Linked DNA regions of Canis lupus familiaris. The protein of the gene in region 4 interacts with the protein of the main gene of each other region in a pairwise test. Links are inferred from orthologs where the notes say so. Each region holds a gene or a part of one and is shown on either strand. Other genes may lie near its edges.

Region 1 (3,871 bases), on a different chromosome or scaffold from region 4:
AAAGGCTTAGAAAGAGCTTTGAAATTTAAAGATTCCAGCACAATTGCAACTTTTTAAATTGAAAATAAGCTAACGTAGGTGACATCATTCCTTTATTCTTTATCGCATTCTATGACTGGTCCTGTCCAATCTTGCTCTGGTAAGAGCATCCTCTAAACATATGAGGATGTTCACTGCTGAGTCGCTTATAATGAAAACTCAAGAATGAGCTATAAATTCAATGAGCGAAAATAGTCCATCTCTATTAATTATGTTCTGTTTCTATGATTGGGTTATTATGCAGCCATTATAGCTCATATTTGACCTGTAAGTGGTAAGATAGTGGATTATTTTTGTTCTATTATTTATACTTTTCAGTGTAATCCAAAATTTTCCCGATCGTATTACTTTTGGAGTTAGGAACACAAAGTCAGCAAGTGCTGTTAACCGAAAGGAAAGCTCCCGGGTGTAGGTATCCAGGTGAACCACGGGACCTTCTGAAATGTCTTCCTTTGGATCTGTGTTGATCCAGGTGAGCTGTCGGGGAGAAATGTTGAAGCAGGTCAAGAGATGTTCTGCTCAGGTTTCCAGACGTGTGCCCGGGAGGTGCTTCAGTACCTGGCCAAGCATGAGAACACTCGGGACCTGAAGTCTTCACAGCTAGTCACCCACCTTCACCGTGTGGTCTCAGAGCTGCTGCAGGGGGGGACCTCCAGGAAACCATCAGACCCGGCTCCCAAAGCCATGGACTTCAAGGAGAAACCCAGCTCCCTGGCCAAAGGCTCTGAAGGCCCCGGGAAAAACTGTGTGCCGGTCATCCAGCGGACTTTTGCTCACTCGAGTGGGGAGCAGAGTGGCAGTGACACGGACACAGACAGTGGCTACGGAGGAGAATCAGAGAAGGGTGACTTGCGTGGTGAGCAGCAGTACTTCAAAAGCGATCATGGACGCAGGTTCACCATGGGAGAAAGGATCGGTGTTATTAAGCAAGAATCTGAAGAACCCCCAACAAAAAAGAGCAGGATGCAGCTCTCAGATGATGAAGGCCACTTCACTGGCAGTGACCTGATCAGCTCCCCATTCCTGGGCCCACACCCACACCAGCCTCCCTTCTGTCTGCCCTTCTATCTCATCCCGCCGTCAGCGACTGCCTACTTGCCCATGCTGGAGAAGTGCTGGTATCCCACCTCCGTCCCAGTGTTATACCCGGGCCTCAACGCCTCCGCCGCAGCCCTCACCAGCTTCATGAACCCAGACAAGATCTCAGCCCCCTTGCTCATGCCTCAGAGACTCCCTTCTCCCTTGCCAGCCCATCCGGCCATCGACTCTTCTGCCCTGCTCCAAGCTTTGAAGCAGATCCCCCCTTTAAACTTAGAAACCAAAGACTAGGGGACCTTGCCGCACTGCTTTCCTTCCTCCCTACTTCCCCCTCCCCCCTCAAAAAAGAAAGTGTGACTGCAGCAAGATTGTTCTAGTGTGTATGCTGAGATAATCTGAGGCATGGAGAGAAGATTTTTGGGGTCCCTGTGTGCGTGTGTGTATCTGTGTGCGCGTGCGTGCGCCTGCGCTCGCGTGCATCGTGTGCTGGTATAGGACATTAAAGCTCCTTTTGGCGTAGGGAAGATATGAAGGATTGCCTGACATCAGGAGACTTAGGGGGGATTGTAGCAGATCTCTGGGCTTTCCCCCACCCGGAGAATAGCCCCCTCAGATACATCCAAATCAGCTGGATTTTCAAAAGCTTCAAAGTCTTGGTCTGTGAGTCAGTCTTCGTTTTGGGAGCCGGGTCTGTGGCTTTGAGAGAAAGGTACTTTCAAAAGAGGGCTTTCCAGAGCGCAGTTCCCAGCCAGCTCTAATGACCCCACCCTTCTCCCTTTATTGTTGCGGTGACTCACCGAAAGGGGAGAGGGCAGCCACACTGAGCTTTCTGCTAAGTGGTGAGGTAGCAGACACTGGCATAGCACGGTAGTGGTTTGGGGAGATTTCTGCAGGTCTGCTCCCCACCCGCTGCTGCCTTCTCCGGTGAATAAAGAGAATGTAGTTCCCTTCTCAGGCTTTCGTAGTGATTAGCTTAATAAGGAACTGAAAAGGGCCCCCTGGTCAAGCTGAGCTGCCAAGGAATGAGGGAGGAGGCCCCAGGGCCTCTGGTGCCTATTCCTAGGTCTCACCTAGAAAATGATCTTGCTGTCCCAGGAACCAGAGCAGGGTCTGCGAGATGCAGGTGCCTATGCTGCAGTCATCCCCAAAATGCATAAAGCCAAGTAACAAATTGCTACCTTCAACGAGCAGAGCTAGACTCAGTTTTCAGTTCTATCCTAAAACTCCTTTACCAAGCTTAGCTTAAAGGCCTAACCAGCTCTTGGCACAGCAAGATCCTTTCTGCAGGCTAATTCCCCTCGCCCGACGGCATAGGGAGTGTCCTTATTGCTAAAAAGGATTCTGTCTCCTTCAAAGAAGTTTTATTTTTGGTCCAGAGTACTTGTTTTCCGACTCATCCAGCTAGCCCTGCACCAGCTTTTTGAAATGCACTATGCTTGATCGCCGATCGTGTTTTAACTTTTTCTTTTCCTGTTTTTATTTTGGTATAAAGTCATTGCCTTTATTTGTAAAACTGTTATAAATATATATTATATAAATATATTAAAAAGGAAAATGTTTCAGATGTTTATTTGTATAATTACTTGATCTACAAAGTGAGAAAAATGAATGTATTCCTGTTTTTGAAGAGAAGAATAATTTTTTTCTCTAGGGAGAGGTACAGTGTTTATATTTTGGAGCCTTCCTGAAGGTGTGAAATTGTAAATATTTTTATCTATGAGTCAATGTTAAGTAGTTGTTTTAAAATACTTAATAAAATAATCCTTTTCCTGTGGAAGAGAAAAGATGGTCTTTTGCATTTTTTTAGAATGCCCCAGTTGTGTGATACGGCTGTCTTCTTCCCTCCCCTCTTGGCTGGAGGCAACAACTAGTTAATCTTGGCGTCATTTCATTCAGCTTTTTATGTGCCTTGTATTCAGACAGAATAAACTTGGTCAATTTCATGGTAAATATTTGTTTAAATTTTTTTTTTTTAACTAACGGTTGCTAAAGTTCATGGCCACCCTGCGCCTCCTTCCAGCATTAGGCAAAAAAAAGTACATTGTCCCTGTCCCCCCAACCCCAGCCTGCTTTTGTCATGATCCTTAGAGCTTGACAGAAAATCAAATTATAGAATCGTTGGGCCTTAGGATCTGGGGAGCTTGCTGGAGGGGTAGGCACATGGAGAAAAGATTTAATGGATTATTATGCAATAATAATTGGTGCTGGGGATAGCATCCTCTGCCAAGCCAGTCTAACTTTTTTGAGTCTAGCAAAGTCTAATGGATTTGCCATATCCTGTCTTATTGCTGCTGAAGGCAACATTCCATAATTATTTTCTACATCCTTCCTGGACTTCCTCTCGTTGGGTGTGTTTGTGCGTGAATGAATATTGGTGTTCCTTAGTCAAGTGCTCTTATGAAGAAAAAAAATTTCCATGGGAAAAGAAGTGGGAAATGACCGGGTCGAGTATTTTTGCCTCTCCCCTTCTCCCCATCAGGGATGTCCCTGCTGGCCAGTGCCTGGCTTGCCATGCTTCAGATCCCCAAGTATCTGAGTCCTCTGGGAACCCTCTGGATGTCTGCAGCCTGAGCAGGGAACCTGCCCCCAGGGAGTTCCCAGCCAGGCAAAGGCACCACCTGCCCCTCATGACTTTGCTTCAGATGTCGCCTTCACTGTCTCCTGACCAGCCAGCCAGCAGGTGAGAGCGAGCATTGCCTGGCTGTGTGAGATGCGGAATGCATACTCTGAAGGACGGAGTTCTCTCCAGGCAGCATGGCACCACGGAAGGAGCACCGCACTGGGAGTCTAGAGA
Region 2 (4,223 bases), on a different chromosome or scaffold from region 4:
GCCCTTTGACCTAGATAATACTATATCTTGTAATGAATCTTTAAAAAATAATCCAAAATGTGGAAATATAACCTATGCACCAAGAAGTTCATCCCAGAATTATTTATGCTGAAGAAAAATTTAAACAACCTTTCTTGTCTTCTATATTGTCTCCTCCACAGAAGGAGAATGGTAAAATATATTGTGATCTAGTTACTCACTGGAGGATGCAACAATTCAAAGTTATAATGAAGGGCAGCCTGGGTGGCTCAGCGGTTCAGCACCTGCCTTCAGCCCAGGGCCTGATCCTGGAGACCCATGATCAAGTCCCGCATCAGGCTCCCTGCATGGAGCCTGCTTCTCCCTCTGCCTCTGCTTCTGCCTCTGTCTCTCTCTCTCTCTCTCATGAATAAATAAAAAAATTAAAGTGATGAATGCTACATAAGTAACATAAAAATACAGGATATGCTAAATTGAATGAAAATAATAGTTATAACTATATAATTATGCCTCCTAAAAGTAACTACAAAAAAGAGGGAATACACCAAAGTGATAATCACTGGTAAAGATTATAAAGGTAGACATGGATTTTCCACTTTATTTCTTGAAGTTAAAAATGCTTTACTGTCCATTTAAAAATAATACTCTAATTAACAGAGCCACTTTTTTTCAATTTGATATTAACTGTCTTCACTTAGCAAATATTAATTCTTGGCATATAAATCTTCACAAGAATATTTTTAGAAACTAAGTACACTAAATAAAAAATTCTTGGAAAAGCTTTTTGGTAAACAGGAGCTATTTCTTTCCTAAGTGAAAATATGCAGTGAGTAGAACAGGCTGTTTACATGGGTACAGTACACCTGCAACATAATTATGAATGGACACTATCTTCATTTGGCAACTCCTTCCTCCTCCCTCATCTTTTGGATTATCTCAGATACTCTTTTCTGACCTCGTTGTGATTTCATATCTTTTGGTACAATGAACAAAAGCTAAGCAAACAGATCACAGTTTTCTACAAAGCAAAGGAAATGTGTGTGCTTTGGTTCCAAACTTTTCTGATGATGCCATCCAAGCTGTGGCTGTACACTGGGTTGATTATTTCACAGAACAGTTATGACAAATTCCACGTCCCTTTTCTGGATGACTATGAAGTAAGAGTCCTTCACACTAAGTTGGGAAGGAATTATCTTTACCTAACTAAATGTACTACCTTGCACCTACTTGCCTACATTGAAACTCACCTACCAGTTGATGCCCCTTTTCACAGCCTAAAGATCAATCTGGAGCAGATTCCAATTAGTTTGACTTTAAGTTACCTGGAAGGACTTAGAGGCCTGTATATCCTCTGTTAAAATACAAAACAAGATAGATGATTGATAGATAAATAGGTAGTAGGTAGGTAGGTAGATAAGACTTGCTAGAACTGGATAATCCTATACTCTCTGTACTTTTAAAGCTAAAGAAATAGTCAATTATTCCTAAGCAAATTTACTGTAGAATCTTACTAAAGGCTTTCTTAGGTCGTCATATTGGCAACTCTTTAGTTGTCATTAGCCAGGCACCTTTTCTTCTTCCAGGAATAATTTGTATTTCCTCCTGTATATTATACTTGTCCTAGTTACCAGACTCTGTATTTCAGATTCTAACCACATGCCTAAGATGGAAAGTGGTAGTCCCCTTTTAAAACCCTTCTCAGGAATAGGGTCCCATTGGCAATTAGTCCATCAACACACTGGAAATATATGCTGGTCAAACTGAAGAAAACTCTGATGATTTAGTTAATTTTGTAGACTTCATTTACAGATAAAAATACATATATACACACACATTTATACACATACATACACACATATTACTGTTTGATCTAGTATGGCCAACGTGTCCATTTGAAGAAATAATCTGGAACTGGGAATCACTAAACCTAAATACAAACCAAGGCAAAGAACTCACTGATGGTTTTCCCTCTCCATCCCTGACATGAAAGTCTGTTCCATGATATCTTGTAGTCTTGATTCAGTAACTGGCTTTCTTTCTACTTTTTTTTTTTTTTAATGTTTTTGGAGTATTTTGGTAGCACTTCTCAAATTCTTCCCTGGCCTGATGTAAAGCAAATTACTCATTTTGAGCAAAGCTTGAAAGATTTATAACCAACCCTAAAGGCATTGATGTCCAAACTTCGGTCCATGTATTTCTTCTTCTCATATTTATCCCGAATAAATCCCTCGACAGCTCTGGAAAAAGCTTATTAAGGGTAAATCAAACAAATCTTTCCCACAGTATGACTATCACAGGTCGATCTGTATTCAATGGAATGTTGTTCTCTCTCTCCCTCCTGGCTGGTTTCTCCATATGGCTCCTGTATTTCTTCACATGCAGTTCCCTGACCAAAACTTTAAAATGCCTCCTTCATGGTTACTGCAGGGAATCACTACTTCCTATGAGTTTCCTTCAGGATAATCACAGCAGCAAATGGGATTAGTCTTCATAATGACATAAGAGGAACCTGTGGCTCTTCTAGAATACAGGTAAAGCAGGAAATTATCTATTTTAAAGTCTTTAGGTCAACAGGCCTTAAATAAATGCACTTGAGTACCCCTTAAAACTATAAACCCTTGTGCCCCGCTACCAGATTCTGATTGGTGTGTCTTCTGCAGGGTCCCAAATCTGCATTTTAACAGGTTCCACCTGCACCCAACAAAAAAGCAAACTCTAACAAGACAGTCTATAAACCACATTTAGAGAAGCACTGCCTTTAGGAGGTTTGGTTTTGTGAGTAGGGCGCTATCCCCTGTTGAAAGGATGAGGGAAGAAAGTTACTAACTAGTCAATAATAGTTCATTCTTTCACACAGAACATAGAAAAGGCATTAAAAAGTGAATGGTAGTTTTGCTGATTCAATACAGCACAGTAATCTATTCTTTTAACACACAATAGTTTCAAAGATCCAAAAACTATCAGAGATGTCACTTTATGGGAGAATTCACAGTGAACCACTACAGTCTTAATTCCTGAGCGAGTCTTCCTCGTGTGACAGCACTATTCCGACATTAGAAAGTATACTTTTTGTATGTGTTGGTGGCAGGAAAGGGAAAAGCAAGACTTTGACTAAACCACATAGAGAGGGCCCAGGCAGATCAAGGGGCTTGAGTCTTGTGTGACTCTCCCAAAACACCAAAATACCACTCAGCCTTCTAACTTGCTCCAAAAAAGATACGGGTCTATTTGAGGTCGGCGAAAAGTCTCAGGAAGGTAGGCTTCATAAAGTCGGTTTGCCTTTCCATTCCCCATCTCTTGCATGCACTGCAATCAGAGAGATGTGGAAACATGGAACGTCAGGTGAGGAAAGACTTGAAAAGTTTCTCGCCCAACTGCAGCATTTTATAACTGAAGAACCAACCTGACAGTGGCAGAACCAAGATCTATGTGCATACTCTGATTTCTAGCCCACGATGGTCTCTATTACCAATCATTTGCCCTCATGGTTGTCCTTCCTGCCCCCTCCACCTTAGTTCTTTTTATTGAAAAATTTGTCTGACAGGATACATTTAATTCAGTAATAATTCAAGACCCCATTTCAAACCCCAAGACACATAACTACCAATTAAAATGTCTACTTGATAGGCAATAATCAGTACCTAATCAGGCAGGCAATAATTGAGCAATAACTACAATTTTGAGTTTATACTATTAATTAAACTATTCAGCTTTATTACCAATAAATGTGTTTCCCATTTGGCCTTTGAAATAGACTCCTTAACACTTGTGAGGGGCAAATCCCAAGGTTTTTAAAATTTTCAAATTCCCAAATACCTCCATGGCATGTAAATTCCTTCATAAGATAAAGTATAACTGAAAAATATAACTAATCTTTTAGACTTTTAGTGAATCTATAAAAGCAGCCTAATGTAATTTAATTTCTAAAGCCATTTTCTAGCTAAGAATAACCTCTTATTTCTATCACCAACTTTAGCAACTGTTTTCTTTGGACCCTTTCTCCCATCCCCACTTCTCAAAAAAGAAAAAAAAAGTTTTAATTACTTCTAAAAGTTTCTATGCAGGAAGAGAATAGAGAAAAATGAAGCCATGTAGAGGTGCAGATCTTAAGTCCGCTAGACTAACTTACGTGTCTTACTCCCAGCCCACCAACCTAACAGCATGCAAGATTCACATACACGTTTTAGCAATAAAATATTATGTCTGTAAGTTGGAGGATTTGTGTGTGACTATCTAAAACTACA
Region 3 (4,935 bases), on a different chromosome or scaffold from region 4:
GAGAGAGGGTATCCACTAAACAACACCCAAAAGGCAGTGAGTGAAGAATGAATTTCATCTCCCTTAGACTGTGGCTCAAGTCCTCATAATGGTAGACTTTCTAGTCTCTATCTTAAGGGGAAACATTTTTTTTTTAATGAATGCTTCGAACCCTCAAAGCTAAAGCTGACCAATAGTTTTCATCTATTTTGCTGAATGTTCCAGAAAGTGTCAGAATTGAGTGATTTGAGCTGCCCCCCGCCCTCCCCCTTCAATCCCAACTCTCTTTCTGGGCTAATTTCTAATAACCTGTTAGGTGGCTTTTTTAAAAAGTGGAGGGCTGAGCAGGCAGTGAAGATTAGGAGCACAGAACCTAAAAATCCCCAGGAGGAGAATCTCCATCCTTCTATAAGGATTTAAGCATTCATACAGATGGTGTGATTTAGGAACTGGCTATTCGAACTGCTAACAGACATTTTGGTGCGTGCACGGAGCATATAAAAACAAATTTCGCTTAAGGTCCAAATCTGAGCTTATTACATATATACACCTTCTAAAAATGCAGAGTAAACTTGCTCAGGGGTTTTCAGCTTGGGGCTTTTAAAACGCATTGAAACAGGGGGCAGAAGGCATTAAGTCACTGGGTACATGTTTAAGAGGTAACAATGCGACCTCTTTGATCAGGAAAGTTCCTGTTTGTTATGCAATGTGTGCATTTCATTATTTACACGATTTCACTAGGCCTTTGGGAACTGTGTACACAGCAAGCTGTGCCTGCAGCAGCACCCAGACTCCGCAACTAAAACCAAACGCCCTTTCTGTTTTGCTTTCCACTCCTCTTGCTTTTCAGGTAAAAAAAAAAACAAAATTTTTTTTTACGGAAAAAAAAAATCCAAAAAGCCAAAACCCAAATAGTATCTACTTCTCTAAAACAATTTTGTCTTACATGTTTTAGGAAGGACAAGTTTCTGGGAAATTTTTCCATGCTCCTTTCCACTGTCCTCTAAGGACGAATTATAAAGTAAGTAGCCAGTGATAAAAATCCAGAGTGGAAAACTTACGGGGTCCTTCCAGCCCTCTCTTTTCTCCTACCCGTGGCAATGAATCTCTCTCCCCGCGGACTCGCCCGTCGGCTTTTTTTTTTTTTTTTTTTTGTATTTCCTGCAGTAAAGCCGAAAGCAGATAAGGTGGCAAGCCCCGGGTCGAGGGCCCGCGCACCGGGGTCCTGGGGGCGGGCGGCGGGCGACTCGGGGCAGGTGAGCCGGGAGCGGGCAGCGGGCAGCGGGCAGCGGGCAGCGGGGCGCTCCCGGGCCGGGGTAGCCGGTAGCCCGGGGCCGCTCCCCCCGGTGCAGCCCCGCGCGGGGGCCGCCGAGCGCAGGGGCGGGTCCTCCCGCGCCAGACACGCCCCGGCCGGGTTTATAAGCCGCGGCCGCCGCTGCCCGCGCCGCGGCTCGGCTCGCGCTCCCCGGGAGTCGGGACGCGCCCCCGCCCCGAGCCCCCCGCCCCGAGCCCCCCGCCCCGAGCCCCCGCCCCGAGCCCCCCGGCCCCGGCCCCCCGCCCCGCCCGCGCTGTCCCGCGGCTCCGCTCGGCGCGCCCCGCCCGCGCGCACCCCCAGCCCTGCACGCTTCCCCGCGGGGGCGCCCCGGGGACCCTCGGCCTGCCCATGGCTGACCTGAGCTTCATCGAGGATTCCGTCGCCTTCCCGGAGAAGGAGGAGGATGAAGAGGAGGAGGAGGAGGGGGTGGAGTGGGGCTACGAGGAAGGTAACCGGCCGCGGCAGGCGGGGTGGCGGGGTCCCCGCGGCTCCCCCGCTCCGTGCGCCGCCGCGCCCCTGCTCCCCACGTGCGCCCCCGGCCCCGCCCGGCCCGTGGGGGATCGCAGGCGGCGGTTCGCCCCGGGAGCCCGGCCTTGCCGCGAGCTCGGGGCCGGCCCCGCACCGAGGGCCCCGGAGGCGGCGTCGCGTTTCGCCCGCACCTTTGGGCGCCCGGGGTGACTGCGGCCGCGGCTCCGGGCCGAGGATGCTGGCGACGCTCCGCTTCCAGAGGAGTCCTGAATCGCAAGCTGCATCAGTGGGGTTGGCCCGAGGGGGGTGACTCTTAAAAAGTTCTCTGGGCTCCATTTACCCCGGGCGATGTAGGACTCCTGAGAGATTTGGCCCCTGGTGCTGCTGCAGGCACGAATGTGGAATTTATGACTTTAGTCATAAAATATGGCAAGAGGATATACGTACACGCTTCAAGAACATATCGGTGTGCGTACATATGCATAGACCCGCTTCAAAATTTGCATCTCTGATAAGAGGTGTTTATGCACTAGCCACAGATTTACGGTTTTTGGCTCTTATCAAGCAAATTCAGAGTTTCAGCTATTTCCCAGTAGTTGAACGAACGAGCAGAGGAAATTGTTGTGGAACTATGAATTCTTTTTTGAGCCCTTAAAGATGACCTAAATTTCCCAGGGTCGTAAATTATTACGTCCACGTGGACAAATACGAATGGAATATTTTGTTAGTACACGATTTTGTATATGGTACTAGATCGCTGAAAATATGAATGCAGAAATTCATACCCATTTGGCACATTTCATCTATAAACAGACAATAGTCACAACTTTTAACAATGTCAAGGATCATAAACAGTGTCTAAACTAGCTTCTACATGTTAAACTTTACTGGAACTTTCTAAAACCTGTTCTAAATTTGCTTCATTTTGTGCTTAGGTGTTGAGTGGGGCTTGGTGTTTCCTGATGCTAATGGGGAATACCAGTCTCCCATTAACTTAAACTCAAGAGAAGCTAGATATGACCCCTCACTGCTGGATGTCCGCCTTTCCCCAAATTATGTGGTGTGCCGAGACTGCGAAGTCACCAACGATGGACATACCATTCAGGTTATCCTGAAGTCAAAATCAGGTATATTAGAAGATGCTTTTGCATGTCTTTGTAAATTAGAAGTCCTCCTGGAGCTGTTGAATTGATTTGGCTTGTATGACTTTAAAGGTAGAATAAACATGGTACCAATATCAGGATAGCTTAATGTACTATAAGGTGCATTTTTTGGAATTAATTTCTAAAACATTTTTGAAAGGATAAAAGGATGAAATTACGACGGTGGTAGTTTGGTGGTTCTGTGTTATATGATGTTGCTGGAACAACCTTAGTTGATCAACTTAAACTTTGTGGGATTTGAGGAAAAGTATATGCGAATGTACTAATCTGTATTTTGTCCTAAACTGTTGATTAGTTTAATTCATTCAGAAAATGATAATGTTCTGTTTCACTACTTTGTGAAACTAAAGATCAGGATTTACGGACATAATCTGGCATTCCAGATAGACTTCTCAAATTAATTTTCTTTACTGTATTAACGTGGCAAGAAGAATTTTAACTAATAGCAATCAAAAATCTCCTCTAAACTTGGTTAAAGATTTAAATGGCCAACAGAACTCATATTAGTATTTATTTATTTTTAGCTCTCCTCTCCTTTGAGCCTGTTTGAGATGGATTTGAAATGTTTTGTGGAAAAGGTGTTGGAAATTGGCATAAATGTAGAGGAGAAGAAAGAAGAATTTTTTAAAAATTAGAATTAATGTTATACTTAGTGAATTGTGGGATTTCTCTCTTGGACAGAATATAAAATTAGAGTATGTTGAAATACTAGAAAGTACTAATTGAACCAGAGATCACCTATGCTTAAATTAATTCTGAATCAATGACTTGATATTTCAAACCATAAAATCTTTAGGTTTATTATTTGAAACAGAGTAGTCATTGATTTCCAACTATGGAATTTTTCTTACAAAATTCATTGTGAATGTTCCTGAACTTTAATTTAGAATCCACGAAGCTAGTCATAGAATCATGTAGTCTTCCCTGATGTTCTGAGTTTAGTCAAAGTATGAGCATCATCCAAAACAGATTCTAGGTGTTACTCTATGGAGTCAAAGAGAGAGAGAGACCCGTTCAGTTGTAAATTTGAACTCAAATAAGATTTTTTTTTTTTTTTTTTTTTTGTGGGGGAGCTATCAGTCAGGGACCATTATGCTTTATTTTAAACTATATAGTTAAATTATTAAATATTGGCTGTCTTGGCTTATAAAAAGCATATTGATGTAATATATGTGTACTGTTGTGTTGACATGCCTTTGTATTTCTGGAAATAAACATTTATGTATCTATAAAACAAAAATGCATTTCACATCAGGCACCATGGTGAGTGGGTATTGGTTGCATACAAATGCACAAGACTATTCTTGAGGAGTCATAGTTTAGTGAAAATACAATCCTTTAAAATACTAGTGTAAATATGTTATGAAAATGTTATGAAATATGGAAGCATGGAGGAATGACTGAGTACAAATACTCTCTGCACTAGGATCCAATTAACTCGACCAACTTGAATTTAACATTTCCTTCTGGTACCTTCTCAAACATTCATGATTTTCCTCGGCCCCCTCTCTCATCCCCAAAACAGACTATCTAGCAGTGCCTCGACTCTCTGATCATATGGTTTTCCCTTGCAGTCTCCTCTATCCTCCACCCCTGACCAGTAGGGAAGAGGTCTCTTGTCTGTCTCAGCCTAACTTGGATACACATGTTCCAGACACCTTACTCCTGCCTCCTTAGACAGCTTGCCCCTTTAGATGTCCTGTCTCCCTCATGCTGCTGGAATAATTTCTTCTTTGTTGTTTCCACCTTTTCAGTATTTCTCAAACTTAAAAAATGAGTAACAAAAAATACCGTGTCTGGACCATTTATTTTCCTAGGATATTTAAGCTTCTCAAAGGAGTAGTCTGCAAGCCCTGAATATCCTGCCCTTCATTTATTTAATTCAAGTGTTAATTTTATCAAAATAGAATATAAACACAATTTAAATAGTTGACTGGTAAGTACTATCTATATGTTTCTTTCTATCCTGGTTAGGCCCCACCCCCATCTCCTACCCACCCCCCCCAAAAA
Region 4 (3,196 bases):
AGGCTAAATTACCTTTGCTCTTGCTTTTTTCTACCCTGGGAGCTCCTGTTTCTGCCCTTGCCCACATGCTTAAGTATCACCAAGCCTCTGAGGAATTTATGGCCTAGGCCTAATTTCATCCTCAGAGTTCTAGTGAAGACTTCAGTAGCTCAAGCCAGGTCCTTGTTCACAGTAACACTGAAAGGCAGTCTAGCTTTACATAAAACCATAAAACCTTGCCCGTCTTACTTTCTCAATTCTTATTCTCTAAGCGATAAAGATTCCTTTCTCCCTGCAGGAGGAGAGAAGAGGCCAATGTGAGGTTTCCTTCACTATCCATAAGAACTTGTCTCTGTGATGAGGCCCTGGTCCTGTTGTGGGGGGCAGGGCAGGGGGATTGTGAGGGCTTTCTAGAGGGACAAGTTCCTGGGTAGCATTTCCAGAGATGAAGGGGGCCCTATGAGCCCATCTCTTTATGGGCAATGTGACTAGGAGTATGAGATCTTCCTTTTCACACAGGAGACTCCAGCACCTGGATCACAGTGTTCTCTGTTCCTCCTCTTGCCCCCATCCTGGAGTTGTTTCACTTTCCACATACAACCAACACCCTAGAATCTCAGGAGATGCATCACCAGAAACAGTTATCTTCACTCCCCTTCAACCACCCACTCTCTGGACTTTGTCATTAACTGGGGTTCCACCTCCTCTGCCTTCTTAAATTCAACTGTCTGACCACCTACACCCTGTCTCTCATCTCTTTAAGCATCATCACTCCAGGACTCCTAGCAGCCTATCACATGAGTTCCTGAGGTAATATTTCTAAGGTAAACTATACTGGTTCTTGGACCTCATTAACACTTGTGTTCATTACTTCCTCCTTTGTTTTCCAATCCATTAACGGAATCTACCCATATTTTTACCAATTGAAAGCTAATCTGCCCCTCAGGCTAGAAGTGAGGCGCTCTCTTTCCCATATAAACAAGTCAATCTCTCCCCAATGTGTTAAAAACAGAGAGCACACGTAATTCACTTTGCAGTTTCAACGTTTATTTCTGATACCAAAACTTGACAGCACACAAGGGGAAAAAAAGCAACAGACAAGGAACAGCAAATAAATTTATCTTGCATGCCACTTTCAGTCAACAGGATGTGGCTCTCTAGATAGCTGTGTTTAGAAGGAATCTGAGGCTTCAGCCTCACTCAGGGGAAAGACTATTGCAACTGATTAGCAATATCTGTGAACATAAGAAAGAAAAAAACCCAAATAATCAGTGATATATATCAAATAGTAAGAAATATACCAAGTATATGCTTCCCTATACTTCCCTCACCTCCCCACCATGGGTTTTCTAGGACTCCCAGGTTGTGACATAAACACATTCCCATGGACCCTGTATCTCCCGATAACCCTAACTGCCCAAACCAAAGTGATATACCTACCCAACATCTCACTCAACCCAGAAGAAACCAATGGCACCAAAGTTGGCAGCAAAGTTGGTGCTGGCTGTACCACCAGGGCCAATAATGGGGCCAGTGAAGGTCTGAGGAAATCGGGAGCGGGCATTCTGGTGGTATCTGGCCCAGAAGGTAAATGGGATTCTAGACCAGGGATCGCCAAAATCTCCTTCCTCATCCCAGGTCAGCAGCTCAAATTCAATGTCATCCCAGCTCCAGGGCCCAGATACGGCCTCATCTCCAATCCCCATGCGGGTTCTCGCCTCAGCCCGGGCCTCAGCCTCAGCTGCAGCAGCATCCAGAGCATCCAAGGCCTCATCTGCAGCCTCCATGAACTGTGCAGTCCAGTCACGAGGATCTCTTTTCTGAACCTGAGATGAAGAACAGAAAATAGAAAATAAAACAAAACCCGTAATAATGGGAGTTAATATTTATGAAGCACTTGCTATATATTTAGTGCCCTACTTTGTGCTACTATTTACGTAACAGCAACAATCAATACCACCAGTAATGCAGTACCACGTGCAGTATCTAAGGTCTTATCCCTGCTCTGGACCCTTTCCAGCCAGCCACACCTCATCTTTTGACCTATCAAGTCTGGAGCAGTTCCTCTATTACCTCTGCAATGAATCTCAGCACTTTCATCTTGCTAGTTTCATGGTAGGAACGGAGGCCCCAGAGGAACTCATACTCAGGAGGGTTGCTGTTGGGCACTCGTCTGTAATCCAGGTACCTTAGAGCAGAAAGGTCTTTGTTTCTACCCAAGAAAGAACAGTAGTCCAACAATACATAATACTCTATTTTGATACCCCCAATTTCAGGTAGCAATCCCACCCAGATAGTAGTCCAACAATGCATAATACTCTATTTTGATACCCCCAATTTCAGGTAGCAATCCCACCCAGACTCATTCTTAAACCTAGCTTAATTATATTCTTTTTTAAATTTATTTTTTTAAAGTAGGCTCCATACTTGAGGCTTGAACTCACGACCCTGAGATCAAGACCTGAGCTGAGATCGAATCAGACACTTAACCAACTGAGTCACCCAGCTGCCCCATAAACCTAGCTTAATTATATTCTAATAGTCAGGCCTTCAAATTCCTGTACCAGTGCTTCTACATTAAGCAGTCACCTAAAACTGCAGGGTGGCTTATATAGGGTCATAGAAAGGGCAACACTTAATCTCTCCCCTTGTGTCACAGCTCTAGCTCCATGTTCTTGTAATCTTGTTATTGAGCCACAGTTGGCCCATTGCAATGATTACTATGCAATGTAAACCTCAGCCTTGGAAATGTCTACTGTGGGTATAGTGGACAGACTTCACCTGCAAGATAACTATAATACTGCAGAAAAATCCAACCACAAGCAGGGATACTCAATAAACACTTCCAAGTATGTATGTGTTTTTCTATGGGGATATATAGGTATAGTGTAAGAAATGAGCATAGTAAGGACTGTCTGAGGCTGACTAGCACACAGAACTCATGAAGACCAGAAAAAAACCCTTAGACATCACTTACTTTTGTTTTACAAACTCATAAGTGAGAAGTTTCCTCAGATCTCCAAGAAGAGGATGTCTCACACTGATAGTATAAAAAAAAGAAACCCATAATCAAAGACTATGACATTGCCCAAAGAAAAGAAAAGAGCTTTCTAGTGGAGATCAGAGATGAGAGGAGAGGCATAGAGTTCAGAACTATTTGCCCATCCACCCAGGTCACATCCTTGGGCTCTGGTACCTCCCCAGACCAATTCCCTAT
Region 5 (4,223 bases), on a different chromosome or scaffold from region 4:
CAACTCCTGTGTCATATATATTGGGGCTCTGCATGAAATTTTATCTAGAATCAAATGGGATATTTTCTGCTTTTTAAAAGTTTGAATCTGGGATCCCTGGGTGGCGCAGCGGTTTGGCGCCTGCCTTTGGCCCAGGGCGTGATCCTGGAGTCCGGGATCGAATCCCGCGTCAGGCTCCCGGCATGGAGCCTGCTTCTCCCTCCTCCTGTGTCTGCCTCTCTCTCTCTCTATCTCTCTATGTCTATCATAAATAAATAAATCTTAAAAAAAAAAAATAATAAAAAAAAAAAATAAAAGTTTGAATCTACTGCTTAGATAAGTATTGTATTTGCTGGTAATGTCCTAAAATCAAGTGTAAGAATCTTAGTATATTCCATGATGTCTCCAATAGATAGATTTAGCCCAGCTTCTCAAACAGATGGTACAAATCAGCATAATTTGCATTTATCAGCATAATTTACATTTTGCCTACCCATTTATCAATGGTCTATCTTGTGATACCACTGCCTCCCCCTTTACCTCTTGTTTTTTTTTTTTCAATGCCCATAACAAAAACAAGTTTCTGCAATTTTGATAATAACTCATGTAAACAAAATAGGAAGGAGAGGCAAAGTTACATTTCCTTTAGATCCAGGGAGAATGCTGTGGTAGAAAGAGTCACTGACTAGAATTGAGAAGACAGAAATTCTACTTCTAGATTTGACTCATTTTACTCTGTCAGTGGACCAATCTTTTTAACCTGATTCTGTTTTCATCTCTCTTAATTGGTGATCACAGAATTTTAGCACCTGAAGCCTCTATAGAAGTCATCAAAATCCAGCCCTCTCTTAGCTTATTATTTAGGAAATTAAGCCCAAAGAAGTATAGTACTTATTCATTGTCCCAGATGTGGTACCTATCTTACCTCTCCCCTTGGGTTTTGTGAAGGTCAAAATACATTGTAAATTTGTACAAAACCAAACATACAAAAAAAAAACTAAACGTACTCAAAGTATTATTGACAGCATACCATTACATACCATTATTAAAATATGTAATATACTTAAGGGAATGCTTAAGTAATGGTGCCATTTGCAGGAAGAAAAAAGTCATTTTTTAAAATATTATTCTAAATTAATACTCAAGCCTAACCAAGCCAAACTTGAGAGACCAACAGCTGCTTGTGGTTTAAAGCTTCTGAAAAGAGTGCGCTAGATGCCTTCTAGTGAAGTCTCAGCGATTTAGTTTACATTGGTTGGAATCACTTGATTTGTCTGACATTGTAGAACATTTGTGTTCTTACAACTCCAGTAACATTTGAACTGAGGTATTTGCCCAATTTTTATGTAAAATCATGTGTTCACCATCTATGAGCACATAAAATAATGAACGGGGGTTAGATTGGTTCAGGATGAATGAGTTTTCTCTTGAATACTGTCTCCAGTCTTTAAGAAAAATAATGGAGTATGTTTGCTTATTTGTGTAAAATTCAATAAAAGTCTATTGATTAAAGTTTTCATATGAAATTCTACTCCTTGGGGATCCCTGAGTGGCTCAGCGGTTTAGCGCCTGCCTTTGGGTCAGGGCATGATCCTCGAGTGCTGGGATCAAGTCCCGCGTCAGGCTCCCTCCATGGAGCCTGCTTCTCCTTCTGCCTGTGTCTCTGCCTTTCTCTATGTGTCTTTCATGAATAAATAAATAAAATCTTTAAAAAAAAAAAAGAAATTCTACTCCTTAACTATCAATGGGCAGTAGTACATTTTTCTCTTTTTAACGTCTGCTATATTTCTATAAATATGAAAAAGGGGGATGAAGAAATAAAGTTGACACCAAACCTAATGTTTGCAAGTACTTAAAGTTTATAAATGCTTAGGTTGGTACTCAACAGCAGTCTAGTATCCTTTAGCTAAAACAACTAATTAAGTATGTTTATTACCACTTAAAATCCCAAAAAATGCATGAAATTGGGGATGTACCTTGAATTTTATTACTGAGTGTCTCTTCTTGTTCACTTGGCTGAGGATAACTGCACCGAAATTCCATTGGTAAATCCCAAAGAAAGGGGATTTTCACTTACCTAGATTTCCATCAGTATGGTATAATTGAACAGAGTCAAAGATCAGCTCAAATTTAAATTCAGAATATACCTTTATAAAGCAGTGAGAGTAGTAAACAGTGTGAAGATGATGAATAAGAAAGTGCATCACAGTGTGGTGTACAATGACATATATTCTGCCTTTCTCATTTTTCTAAAAACAAAGAATTTTTTTTTCAAAGAATATGTTCTAAGCAGTTCTATGAAAGAGACGAAACCAGAGCCCAGGATTTACTTTTATTTCTTACATTTCTTTGTCCTTCTCTTTCCTCCCACCCAGTTTTTCTCCTCCCCATTTGCCCCTATACCTGCAACACCCACCCCCCCTTATTATCCCTTCACTGTGCTTGTTCTGCTTAAAGATGCTCAGGTGTGGAAGTGACCCATCAGCTGGCGTCTACAGAGAAGATAGTGTTGGGTGGAGCTTAAATGCAGGGATGTCTGGAGCCAGCTTTCACATGCCCTCATCACACCTTTTCCTCATGGAGTCTTAAATGCTCTCTGTCCTCTCTTCCATTGCAGGTTGGAAATTAAGCCCCGTAGTTGGAGCTGTATATGGCCCTGAGTTATATGCAGGTAGTATTTCATTAATTTTTCCATTTGGCCTATTGACCATGACAACATCTGTTGGTTTTCGATCTACTATTCCTTTGTAATCTTTTTGCATTTTTTTTAATTTTTTTAAATGCAATCAGCATCCAGCTTTCAAGCAGACGTGTCCCTAGGCAATGATGCAGCAGTGCCCCTATCAGGAAGAGGGGGTATTAACACTTACATTCCTTTAATCAGTAAGTAGCCTATGTTGGCCTGGCATGGATTTTGACTGTTGTGAGTAAACAGTGATGTGTCCTAGTCTTTTTCTTCTTCCCCAAGTATAATATATAACTGAGGAGGAGGCCTTCTCAAGAGAGTTAAATGCTGTCACAGTGTCCCATCCTGCTTAACCTGTGTAAGAATCTTTCTGACCAGATACTGAGATTGCCACGAAGCATAAATAGTTGGAAAAGGTCAAGGGGATTGAGGACATGTGTAGAACATTTTAGTCTGCACTTGATTTTAAAACCAAAGAAATAGATACTTGTGGAATATAATATGCATGTTCTCTGCAGGTCAGCTTTGGGCTTTTTAGTAGAGTATCATTTAGAAGCACCTCCAGCATTAATGATTATTCTCCCTCTGTTGATACCTCTGAAGTCATTCTGACCTGAGCCATTTTGCTCTAGCAAGGTATAATTAAAAAGAGTTCAGTGAACATGGAATAAATGTCTCTGTGTGCTTTCCAGAGGATAGCACATTTAAAATAGACCTTTAGAAACTTTCTGCCTCTCTGAAGGCCACAGGATTACAAGGGAGAAGTCGTTTTCCTCTCCCCTAACATTTCTGGATTAAAACATTTTAGATAAAAGAATAAAATGGACTAATGAAATATCTAAAGATTATTGTATGCCTTGGAGGTTAGCACCACATACAAACACAAAAGACTGCTCTTATGAAGAATAATTATTAAGTGCACATAACAACATGTGAAAATAAGATTAATAATTGGCCAGTTAAAGAATTAATATCAACAATTTAAACTGCCTGCAGAAATTAAAAGTCTTGTCTCTTACTACGGCAGTAGTCCTCAGAGCTTCTTGACCTCTTTCTCACCAGCTTGCATTGTAAAGGCCAGAATTGTGAAGGAGCAGAGTAAACTCACTCAAGATTGGATGATGAACGGAGCATGCATCATTAGTTTTTGCATATTGGGTCTCTCAGTTTCTTTCTCAGAAAAGATGTGATAATCTCTTCCAACCTTTCCTGGAATTGGTTCAAAGCAAGTTGTGATTGTACCCCTGCTATTGAATTCAAGTTGACATTCCTGTCATATTTTGGGTCTCCCTTTAGTTCCTGGCTTCCCTTACCCGACTGCAGCCACCACGGCAGCCGCTTTCAGAGGAGCCCATCTGAGGGGCAGAGGGCGGACGGTATATGGTGCAGTCCGAGCGGTACCTCCAACAGCCATTCCCGCCTATCCAGGGTAAGCACTAGATTCCAAAATAAGCAGCTGGACAGAAAAGAATACCATGGCCCTGTCACAACTTCTGGGACGTTGCCGTGCCACATTGTAGAGATTCTATGAATATTTGTAAATTAATAGATCAGATGG
Region 6 (4,859 bases), on a different chromosome or scaffold from region 4:
TCTTGGGGTGAGGCTGCAGTAGAGCCTGAGGGTCACTAGGATAGGCCAGGCGACAGCCGCCGAAGGCTCTAACCACCAAAGGGCACAGCAGGAGCCGCCGGAACACCCGGAACACCCGGGCCTAAAGCTGAATCCTCCTCTCCGGTGGAGAGTGGTGGGACGGAGACAAAGTCTGAGCGCCGGTCTAAAGCTTTTGGAGGGCTGCGGCAGAGCCGGCCAGGAGCGGTCCGCACGGGTCCCCTTGGGCGCGCACGCTGGGCTCACCCTCACGCGCGGCTCCGTGAGGTTGGTCCACACAGCGATCTCCTCCCGCATGCTCATGTCGGGGTAGCGGTTCCTCTGGAACGTGGCCTCCAGCTCTTGCAACTGCTGGCTTGTGAAGTGCGTGCGTTGCCGCCGTTGCTTCTTTTTCTTGGCGGGGTCCTCCGCGCCACCGCAGCCTGCGCCTCCCGCACCGCTGTCCTCCGGCCCCTTGACTTCCCCGCCGCGCTCCTTCTCTGAATCGGGCAGGACAGGCCCTAGTCACCTTGGGTTTATGCCCTTTCGCACCCCGTCCCGGCTCCACCGAAGCGCCAGCCATCAGCGCTGGCGGCCCTTCCTCCCGCCAGGAACCCTAGTTTTGTTCCCGCTGGAAAGAGCCTGTCGGGTGCCTGATCCTCACTAGTCACCTTTGGTCGGACGGCCCCGAAGAGCCAGGGAACCCGAGGCTCCGGCCTAGGTTCCCCACTGGGCAGGGCCTGCCCTTGCAGCTCGGCTCAGGCTCAAGCCCTACTGCCTATGTCGCCCGCAAATGTATGAAATTTTGAGGGCTTTTAGGCATTTAAATCTGGGGGTGTCTCTGCTCTTCTGAACTGATATCAAATCTGGCTAGCCTGAAGCCAGTGGGTCGGTGGAGCAGGAGCCAGGCGGTAACCTGCAGCCCCTCTACTTTCTTCTCCCCAGGGCTGTGTGGGAGCCACATTGGGCAGGCACAACACAGCTGTGTTCTCAGCCTTAGCTCCAGGCCTCAAGTCCAGAGGCCCAGAAAAGCCCTCAGGCGGCAGCCCAGACCCACACACTCTGTCTAGGTGACCTGGGGCTCTAGCCTCTCGCTCTCTCAGGGTACACAAAACACATTCAGTCATAGACACATTGAAACAAACAAACAAAAAAATTAAAAACAAAATACAGAAGCCCAGATAAACTCAATTCTATCCCAACACCATGGAAAGGCTCACAAACTATTAAAAATAGGCAGGTAGGAACACAGAGCAAATGCAAATTAAGAAGCAAGAAACCTCCGTGCAAACAGACCCCTAACTAAATACAGTGCTGTACGCGTATAAACTCCAGGCAGACGCGGGCATTTATTTCTCCGGGATAAAAAAAAAAACAACTTAATGTACTGTTGTAGATAGATTTTTTTTTAGCCCCTTCCTAATAATGCCCTTCTAGGGATAGTCTTTAAGTCGCAGGGAAATACAACACTATAGTTAGATAAATTACCAAACTAACACTGCTGCAAATGGATTTTGAAAAAAAAAATCCCGGAGAAACGCGCCATTTTGGATTGACTTTTAAAAATCTCCAAGAATAATGCTGCATGTGGATGTTTTAAATTCCAGAGAAATATGCCTCGCGTAGTGATTCTTTCTATATCGAAAAACACAGTTAAAAAATTTAATATATCCTCACGGAGTTGGTTTTAAAAAGCAATCGCTCGCTGTATATTTCTCCAGATTTTAAAAAGTAAAAACCAACCAAAGGCCACGCTTCAAACTTTTGAAAACAAAAGTACAGTCCAGCGTGGATTGCTTTTCTTAGCCAAGCAAACAGAACCTCTCAGAGAAAGTCACTTAGAGATGCAAAACAGAAACAAATAGAGATTAAAAACGCGTAGAGAAACACTCAGCGGTGGATTAAGAAAAAAGCACAGCGGAGGCGCCCACGACCCGGGGAACAGGGCGCCCGGCGGGACGGGGAGCGCGGGATCCGAGCGGGAGACCCGGGGGCGCGAGCGGCCGAGGATCCGCCGCGCCACCGCCCGCACCGCCCACCCGCCGGCCCCGCTCGCGGCCAGCTTGCGGGGGAGCAGCCTGAGTTCGGGGGGCAAAACGGCGGCGCGGAGGGAGACGCGCCCCAGCCGAGCCGGGCCCTGGCCGGGCGGCCTGGCGGCTCCCGGGTCCCTCCACGAGGGGGGCCTGCCCGCCAGCTGAGCCGCACCTCTTGGCCCGCTCGCCCTCGCTGCCCTCTTTTTTTTTACTTGAGGTGGTCCCCCCTTCCCCGCAGTCTGTTTCTCTGACTTTTCCCGCCACCCCTTCTCTTGGATTTCTCCCTCTCCATCCGTGCCCACCGCCTGTCGGGGTGTGTGACCCCGTCTCCCTGCGCAGCGTCTCTCGCCCGCCGCCCCGTTCCTCTCTCCACCTACTGTCCTGCGGTCTGAGCGGCCCCCTGGGCACTCGTTGCGCAAACCGAATTCTTTTTCTTCCGGCTCCGTCTGCTCCCGATCAAGAGGGGCTGTCGGGCCGACCCTCCCGTGGTCGGTGCCTGCATCTGCCGGGGTCTGGGCGCGTGGGCACCGGCTGGGAGCAGAGCACGGAATTCCGTCTCATCAAGCGCGCAGATTTCCGCGCTCCCGGTCCGACGGAGGCCGGGAGAAGAGGTCCCGGAGCTCGCGGGGCTCGGGCAACCTGAGCGTGCGGCGCGGGCGCCAGGCCCCGCTCCCCGCCCCGCGCCGGGCCGAGCCGCGCTTACCTGGCAGCTCCGTGTCGGACGACTCGCTGGCGGAGTTCTCGAGCGGCTCGCGGGGGTCGGCGGCGCGGGCCAGGTGGAAGGCCGGCCCCATGTCGTGCGGCGGCGGCGGCGGCCGGAGCCCCTCCGGCAGCCGCTCCAGGCTCATGCCCCCCTTGAAGGCGTCCATGGAGGCGGGGACCGCGGCGGGCGCTCCCGGGGCCGGGGCCGGGGCCGGGGCCGGGGCCGGGGCCGGGGCCGGGCGCGCCCGGCCGCCCTGGCTGCGACCTGCGGGGACAAGAGCACAGCGCCTAAGCGGCTGCCCCCCAGGGCTGCCCGGGCCCGCAGCGACGCCGCGCCCGCCCCATGGACCGCCCGGGGCTGCGGGGCCGGGCGGGCGGCGGCGGCAGCGGTTTCTCGCGACCGGATCCCCGGCTTCGCGCTCCGCGCTGCGCTCCCGCCGCTCGGGCCTCTGCCGCCCGCCCGGCCCCGGCTCCGGCTCCCGATCCGGGGCCGGTTTCTAAGGCTCCGTACGGCGCCGGCAGAGGCTGTCTTAAAGCGACAGCGCGCACCGCCAGGTTCCAGCAGTCCCTGCGCCAGGGGTGGTGGGTGGGGTGGGCCCGGGTGGGAGGGGGCTGGGGAGGGGGGAGGGAGGGAGGGAAGGAGGGAGGGAGGGAGGGAGGGAGCCGGCGAGCGAGGGAGCGCGGGCGGAATCCGGCCCCGAGCCGCCCGCCCTCCCCCGGCCGTGCCCTCCCCCTCCCCCTCCCGTCCCCTCCCGTCCCCCTCCCCCGCCGCAGCCACCTTCCCGCCGCCTCCCGCCCCCTCCCCCCACCCCCCGCGGCCTCGCCGCGCCGCGCCGCTCCCTCCTTCCCCGTTGACACACCGACTTCTCCCTCGGCCGCACAAAAGAAACGCATCTGGTCTCCAAGTCCCGCGCGGCTCGTGCCCACCTCCAGCCCCAGATGACTTGTTTTGCGCAGAATCAACTCCTGTCTGGGCCGCCTCGAAGTCCTCAGCCCCCGGCGAGAACAGCCCAGGACGAGAGAATGTTCCCGGGGCAGGATCGCACGGAGCGGGCGCCTCCGAGCCAGCGCCAGGGCGGGGGCAGAGCCCGGGGCCCGTTCCGGCAGCTCCCGGCGGCGTCCCCGTCGGGGGGCCGCTGGCCCCTCCTTCCTCGGCCTCTTCTCCCGGGACCTGAGCCCGGCTGAGTGACAGCAGCCTGCGTTCTAATGGGCCCCCGGATGCTGCCTCCTAATTAGCTTGGACCCTGTCGTCCAAGGCTGCTTCTCTGGCCTCCCCCTCTGCACCGCAGTCAATTTTCCGGGATTGGGATTGAACTGATGGCTTCTAATCAGACGAAACGTTTCTGTTGGCTCCAGGCCTCTGGCGAGTGCAGCAGGAGACCCCGAGAGCCCCGCCAGGCCCCACAGCCTCTTCTGCAGGGCTCTCTTCCCTTGTTTTGCACCAGTCCAGCCGAATCAGCCAGGCCCCGGCCTTGGCAGCCAGGGGGTTGGCTTCTGCCCCCTTCAGGGCAGGTTTGTAGCGATCTGGGGCCTCCTCTGGGCTTTCCAGAGCTGCAGGCACCTGGCCTCGCGAGCAGGCCAGGTGCCTGCAGTTTCCCAGCCCGGAGTCCGCAGTCCAGGAAGCCTACCGCCTTTGAGCTTCTCTCTCTCACACAGCAGTAGCTGAGCGGCAGCACCGCCGAGGCCTCCTGGGGGCAGACACCGCCCGGCCCCTCCCCACCTCTGAGAATGATCCCCTTCTGGAATCCTCCTATGACAGTGAAGTTTGTTGAAGGATTTTGCCGAACAATTGTTAACCAGCCCCGAGACCTCAGAGTCTTGAATAAATAGACGGCAGCTAGGGTGGTAGGGTGCGACCCTGACCCGTGCCTCTGGCCACAGCTAGACCCCAGGCTGCCCTCCGCCCCTCGATTGCTGACCAACTCCCCCAGATAGGAGTAGCGCTGGGCAGGACAGTAACCCGGAGGAGAAGCACTGCTCTACTCTCCAGGTGCAGCGCCTCACCACAGGGCCCAGTGCATCCTCATCTCTTCCTGGGGCGGAGGGAGTGTCTCTGCTTGGGGGTGAGGATCTGGGGTGTTCTTCAGGTACTGCCTTCTAGCCCTCACCCTGGCTCATCAGGAGACC
Region 7 (4,100 bases), on a different chromosome or scaffold from region 4:
TGTGACCAACTATACAAGTGGTGGAACAGTTGAACAGATTGTATACCTCGTTCATTGTGGCATAATAGAACCATTGATGAACCTCTTAACTGCAAAAGATACCAAAATTATTCTGGTTATTCTAGATGCCATTTCAAACATCTTTCAGGTAAGTTATAAGGTAGCATTTGAACTTGGCCTTGATGGTAATGGATGATATTTTAACCCACGGGAGGGCAGCTAAGTTTGCTCAGTAGGCCACAGAATTAGAAAGGCTGCTTATGTGGGCCACACTCTTGGTAAGACGTGACAAGGGATTATAAGAGATTTAAAGGAGATGACAAGGGGATGACCTGAATTTAAATCAAGTCCATATGTGGACACAATTCATTCCTATCTATTTTGTCAGAAATCTTTAATTCTTCAATGTCCTACTGAATTATGGTGAAATTAAATTTTGATGACTTAGTTATCCATTTTATTTTTTTTCTGATTCCCTTCCTAATTGACCCGAGCATGCTAGCATATGACACTTTGTCACAGTGGTTGGGGATAGGTAGGTCCTACCTAATGACTTTAAACTTCTGATTATGGAAATTCTACCTAGAAGAGTCTAGAATAATGATGCTTGGTGTATCTGTCACCCAGCATAAATAAATTGTCAACATTTGGCCTATTTTTCTACTCCTTCTTACCTAAACCCTCTAAATTATTTTGAAGCAAATAAATTATTTAATCTGTAAAAATTTATGTATCCTAAAATTTGAAGACTTTAAAACCACAATGTCATTTTTATACCTAATAAATTCTTGATTATCAGTAAGTAATCCAATCAGGGATGTTTATTTTTATACACCTTAGGCCATCTTTGTCCTTAGACGATGGTTCTCTACCTTGACTACACTTTGATGTTATCAGAGGTGCTTTTTAAAAAAGATTTTTTCTTTCATTCATTCATTCATTCATTTATTCATTCATTTATGAACCTGAGCATGTGTGGCAGGGGCAAAGGGGGAGGGAGAGAGAATCTCAGCAGACTCCATGCTGAGAGTGGAGCCCAAAATGGAGCTCAGTCCCACAACCCCTGAGACCATGACCTGAGCTGAAACCAAGAGTCAGATGCTTAACTGGCTTGAGCTACCCAGGCACCCCTGAGGTGCTTTTATAAAACAGTAATATTCTGTTCCCATCAAAGACCAAACTTGGTTATGGTAACATTTTTATTTTTTTTTATTTTTGTTTTTTTTTAAACTTTCTTTTTTTTTAATTTTTTATTAATTTAATTTATTTATTTATTGAGAGAGAGAGAGAGAGAATGGCTGGGACACAGGCAGAGGGAGAAGCAGGCTCCATGCAGGGAACCTGATGTGGGTCTCTATCCCGGATTTCCAGGATCACACCCCAGGCTGCAGGCGGCGCTAAACCGCTGCACCACCGGGGCTGCCTGGTTATGATAACATTTTTAAAGTTGCCCAGGTGATTTTGATTCATAGAAATGATTTGAGACCTACTGTAAGATCTAGCTGAGAGCTACAGAAGTAGTTGTTAAGAACAAGTATAGATCTGATCACCTTGAATTTTTTGAAAATGTAAACTGGAAATAAAACCATCTCATAGGGTTGTTGAAGGAACTTTAAAGTGGTTGTCTGAGATCCATCAATACCCAAACATAAACACGGTTTTCCTTTTTTTTTTTTTTTTTTTCACGGTTTTCATTAAAATAGAACATTCAGTAAATTCCACTAAACTTGGATATTTTTTTTAGGCTGCTGAGAAACTAGGTGAAACTGAGAAACTTAGTATAATGATTGAAGAATGTGGGGGTTTGGACAAAATTGAAGCTCTACAAAACCATGAAAACGAGTCTGTGTACAAAGCTTCATTAAACTTGATTGAGAAGTATTTCTCTGTAGAGGTGAGTAACATGGTAAAGTTAACAAGAATTTGGAAAATACACAAAGTCAAGCCCATAAGATTTTTTTCTTCCTTATACTTTTTAAATGAGCCCTGTGACCTTGTTAAATATGGCAAAATATCAGTGTGAGTAGGACATAATGTATATATATATTTTGCTTCTTAAATATTTGGCTTGATGATCATATAATCTTTAGAAATTAAAAAAAATTTTTTAAAAATTACCCCTCTTTCTTTAGAATGAACAGTCTTAAGGACTTTAGAGTATCTTGAGAGTAAGTTTGTATAGGAGATGATGGAAAAGTGGGCCAACCCCACTGCCATCTTCTGGGGCTAATAGGCCATCTTCCCATTTCCTTTTTTTTTTTTTTTTTTTAATTTTTTTTTAATTTATTTGTGATAGTCACAGAGAGAGAGAGAGAATGAGGCAGAGACACAGGCAGAGGGAGAAGCAGGCTCCATGCACCGGGAGCCTGACGTGGGATTCGATCCCGGGTCTCCAGGATCGCGCCCTGGGCCAAAGGCAGGCGCCAAACCGCTGCGCCACCCAGGGATCCCCATCTTCCCATTTCCTATGGAAAAGTGACAGGTGGGGAAGAAAGTCTGCTGTGGTAGCATTCCTTAGTCCATTCGGAATCTTCCATCTCCCAGGCGCTCCTGAATTGGCAAGTTTTCAGCAGCTTTCCCTCCACTATTTCAAATACTGAAATATGGTACGGCATTGATTAGTATAATATGCAGATGAAGACCTTAAGAGTAAATAGAGACTTCTAGGCAGGCTACTTCCTAGAAATGTGCTATGTGTGTGAAATTATATTGTTTGGTTTTGTTTTTTAATACTTCCAGGAAGAGGAAGATCAGAATGTTGTGCCCGAAACTACCTCTGAAGGCTATACATTCCAAGTTCAGGATGGCACTCCTGGGACCTTTAACTTTTAGATTGTACAGCTGAGACAGAAAGTTGTTTGTTGTGTACTGTTTGGTAGAAGTTTGTCTTACTGTTTCTCTACTAAGAACTCTTTTTAAATGTGTTTTGTTATTGTAGCACTTTTTACAACGAAACTATACTTGACCAGTTCTGAACTGTACAAACTGTATGAAGCTCCTCCTCTCAGTGGGTTGCTTATTTCTATGTGGAATCTTCTATCTTACAGTGTCCTGTAAATAAAGATTAAATTCCACCCTTTTCTCTACCTCACCGTTCCTATGCATTACTTTCTAATTTGGAGTTCTTAAGATTGCAGATGAAGGGTGACAGAACCAAACCAATGTGACCAACCAGAGGTGTAATTCTGGTGGCAGATGACATTTGATATCAGGTTTGTGATGTCCTCAAAGATAAAGGAGTCATAACTCTTCTGCCCACTTCTGAGCTCTGGGTTTGCTCTAGGCTGCTTCCATTCTTTGTCAGTAATGGCTGTTGGCACTTGCAGCTTCATATCCACTATACTCCAGCCAGAATAGAATTTTTCAGAAGTTTGCATAAGAAAATGAACAGAATTTCCCAGAAGGCTTCAGCCAATATCTCCTTTAAATCTCACTGGCCAGGGAGTGAGAGTGAGGCCAGGGAGTGAGGCTCCTTGCATGGAGCCTGCTTCTCCCTCTGCCTGTGTCTCTCATGAATAAATAAAATAAAAAAAATATATATATATACATATATACATACACATATTCTACACATATATGTATGTGTGTATATGTATGCATATTAATCATAATTAGGATGTTTATATATACGTGTGTGTAATATATACATGTACATAAAATTTAATATATATACACATGTGTATATATATATTTATTTATTTATATATATAAAATTAGAAGTCTCAAGCTACAAGTAGAATTCATTCCTCCCAAACTTCAAGGCTGAACATGGTTTCAAAGCTGTTGGCATCACCTGGAAAGTTTACCCACAAATTCTGTTTAATTGGTAAGGGGTGGGGTCCCAGTATCTGATATTTTAATTTTAATCCCCATACATTCTTCCTGTACAGTCCAGGTTGGAAGGCACTAATCTAAGGAATAGTTACTATTAGCAGCATAGGAAATGGGCTTGGGGGAAGGAGAAGGGAGGGTTAATAAGGAGCCCCACTAGTCCTAAGGACAAATGAAATGCACCTTAAAAGCACTACTGTCTTTTTCCTTTGATTCATGGAAAAGTAATGAGCCAAGCCTCCACTGCTGATATTGGACAGCTTTGCCTG

Evidence for each region.
Region 1: the proteins of MAGED1 (region 4) and BHLHE40 interact in binary tests that used the Homo sapiens proteins (3 or more experiments, as listed by UniProt). The two-hybrid records come from large-scale screens. The link is inferred for Canis lupus familiaris from reciprocal best matches to the Homo sapiens genes MAGED1 and BHLHE40.
Region 2: the proteins of MAGED1 (region 4) and SMAP2 interact in binary tests that used the Homo sapiens proteins (3 or more experiments, as listed by UniProt). The two-hybrid records come from large-scale screens. The link is inferred for Canis lupus familiaris from reciprocal best matches to the Homo sapiens genes MAGED1 and SMAP2.
Region 3: the proteins of MAGED1 (region 4) and CA8 interact in binary tests that used the Homo sapiens proteins (3 or more experiments, as listed by UniProt). The two-hybrid records come from large-scale screens. The link is inferred for Canis lupus familiaris from reciprocal best matches to the Homo sapiens genes MAGED1 and CA8.
Region 5: the proteins of MAGED1 (region 4) and RBFOX2 interact in binary tests that used the Homo sapiens proteins (3 or more experiments, as listed by UniProt). The two-hybrid records come from large-scale screens. The link is inferred for Canis lupus familiaris from reciprocal best matches to the Homo sapiens genes MAGED1 and RBFOX2.
Region 6: the proteins of MAGED1 (region 4) and PITX1 interact in binary tests that used the Homo sapiens proteins (3 or more experiments, as listed by UniProt). The link is inferred for Canis lupus familiaris from reciprocal best matches to the Homo sapiens genes MAGED1 and PITX1.
Region 7: the proteins of MAGED1 (region 4) and KPNA2 interact in binary tests that used the Homo sapiens proteins (3 or more experiments, as listed by UniProt). The two-hybrid records come from large-scale screens. The link is inferred for Canis lupus familiaris from reciprocal best matches to the Homo sapiens genes MAGED1 and KPNA2.

Annotation. Positions count from the first base shown.
Region 1 is NC_049241.1:12,717,090-12,720,960, reverse strand, and holds the end of BHLHE40 (class E basic helix-loop-helix protein 40), read left to right. Parts: intron 1-511; coding exon 512-1,368; 3' UTR 1,369-2,861; downstream 2,862-3,871. UniProt on the Homo sapiens protein: Transcriptional repressor involved in the regulation of the circadian rhythm by negatively regulating the activity of the clock genes and clock-controlled genes.
Region 2 is NC_049236.1:2,651,169-2,655,391, forward strand, and holds part of SMAP2 (stromal membrane-associated protein 2), read right to left. Parts: intron 3,286-4,223; coding exon 3,200-3,285; intron 2,217-3,199; coding exon 2,138-2,216; intron 1-2,137.
Region 3 is NC_049250.1:11,250,599-11,255,533, reverse strand, and holds the start of CA8 (carbonic anhydrase-related protein), read left to right. Parts: upstream 1-1,589; 5' UTR 1,590-1,642; coding exon 1,643-1,742; intron 1,743-2,697; coding exon 2,698-2,889; intron 2,890-4,935. UniProt on the Homo sapiens protein: Does not have a carbonic anhydrase catalytic activity.
Region 4 is NC_049260.1:44,812,159-44,815,354, reverse strand, and holds the end of MAGED1 (melanoma-associated antigen D1), read right to left. Parts: intron 3,020-3,196; coding exon 2,957-3,019; intron 2,168-2,956; coding exon 2,053-2,167; intron 1,806-2,052; coding exon 1,428-1,805; 3' UTR 1,420-1,427; intron 1,215-1,419; 3' UTR 1,005-1,214; downstream 1-1,004. UniProt on the Homo sapiens protein: Involved in the apoptotic response after nerve growth factor (NGF) binding in neuronal cells. Inhibits cell cycle progression, and facilitates NGFR-mediated apoptosis. May act as a regulator of the function of DLX family members.
Region 5 is NC_049231.1:29,471,901-29,476,123, forward strand, and holds part of RBFOX2 (RNA binding protein fox-1 homolog 2), read left to right. Parts: intron 1-2,596; coding exon 2,597-2,650; intron 2,651-2,769; coding exon 2,770-2,862; intron 2,863-3,949; coding exon 3,950-4,094; intron 4,095-4,223. UniProt on the Homo sapiens protein: RNA-binding protein that regulates alternative splicing events by binding to 5'-UGCAUGU-3' elements. Prevents binding of U2AF2 to the 3'-splice site.
Region 6 is NC_049232.1:23,086,603-23,091,461, forward strand, and holds the start of PITX1 (pituitary homeobox 1), read right to left. Parts: upstream 2,992-4,859; 5' UTR 2,900-2,991; coding exon 2,734-2,899; intron 498-2,733; coding exon 265-497; intron 1-264. UniProt on the Homo sapiens protein: Sequence-specific transcription factor that binds gene promoters and activates their transcription. May play a role in the development of anterior structures, and in particular, the brain and facies and in specifying the identity or structure of hindlimb.
Region 7 is NC_049230.1:14,375,575-14,379,674, forward strand, and holds the end of KPNA2 (importin subunit alpha-1), read left to right. Parts: coding exon 1-148; intron 149-1,744; coding exon 1,745-1,894; intron 1,895-2,739; coding exon 2,740-2,832; 3' UTR 2,833-3,086; downstream 3,087-4,100.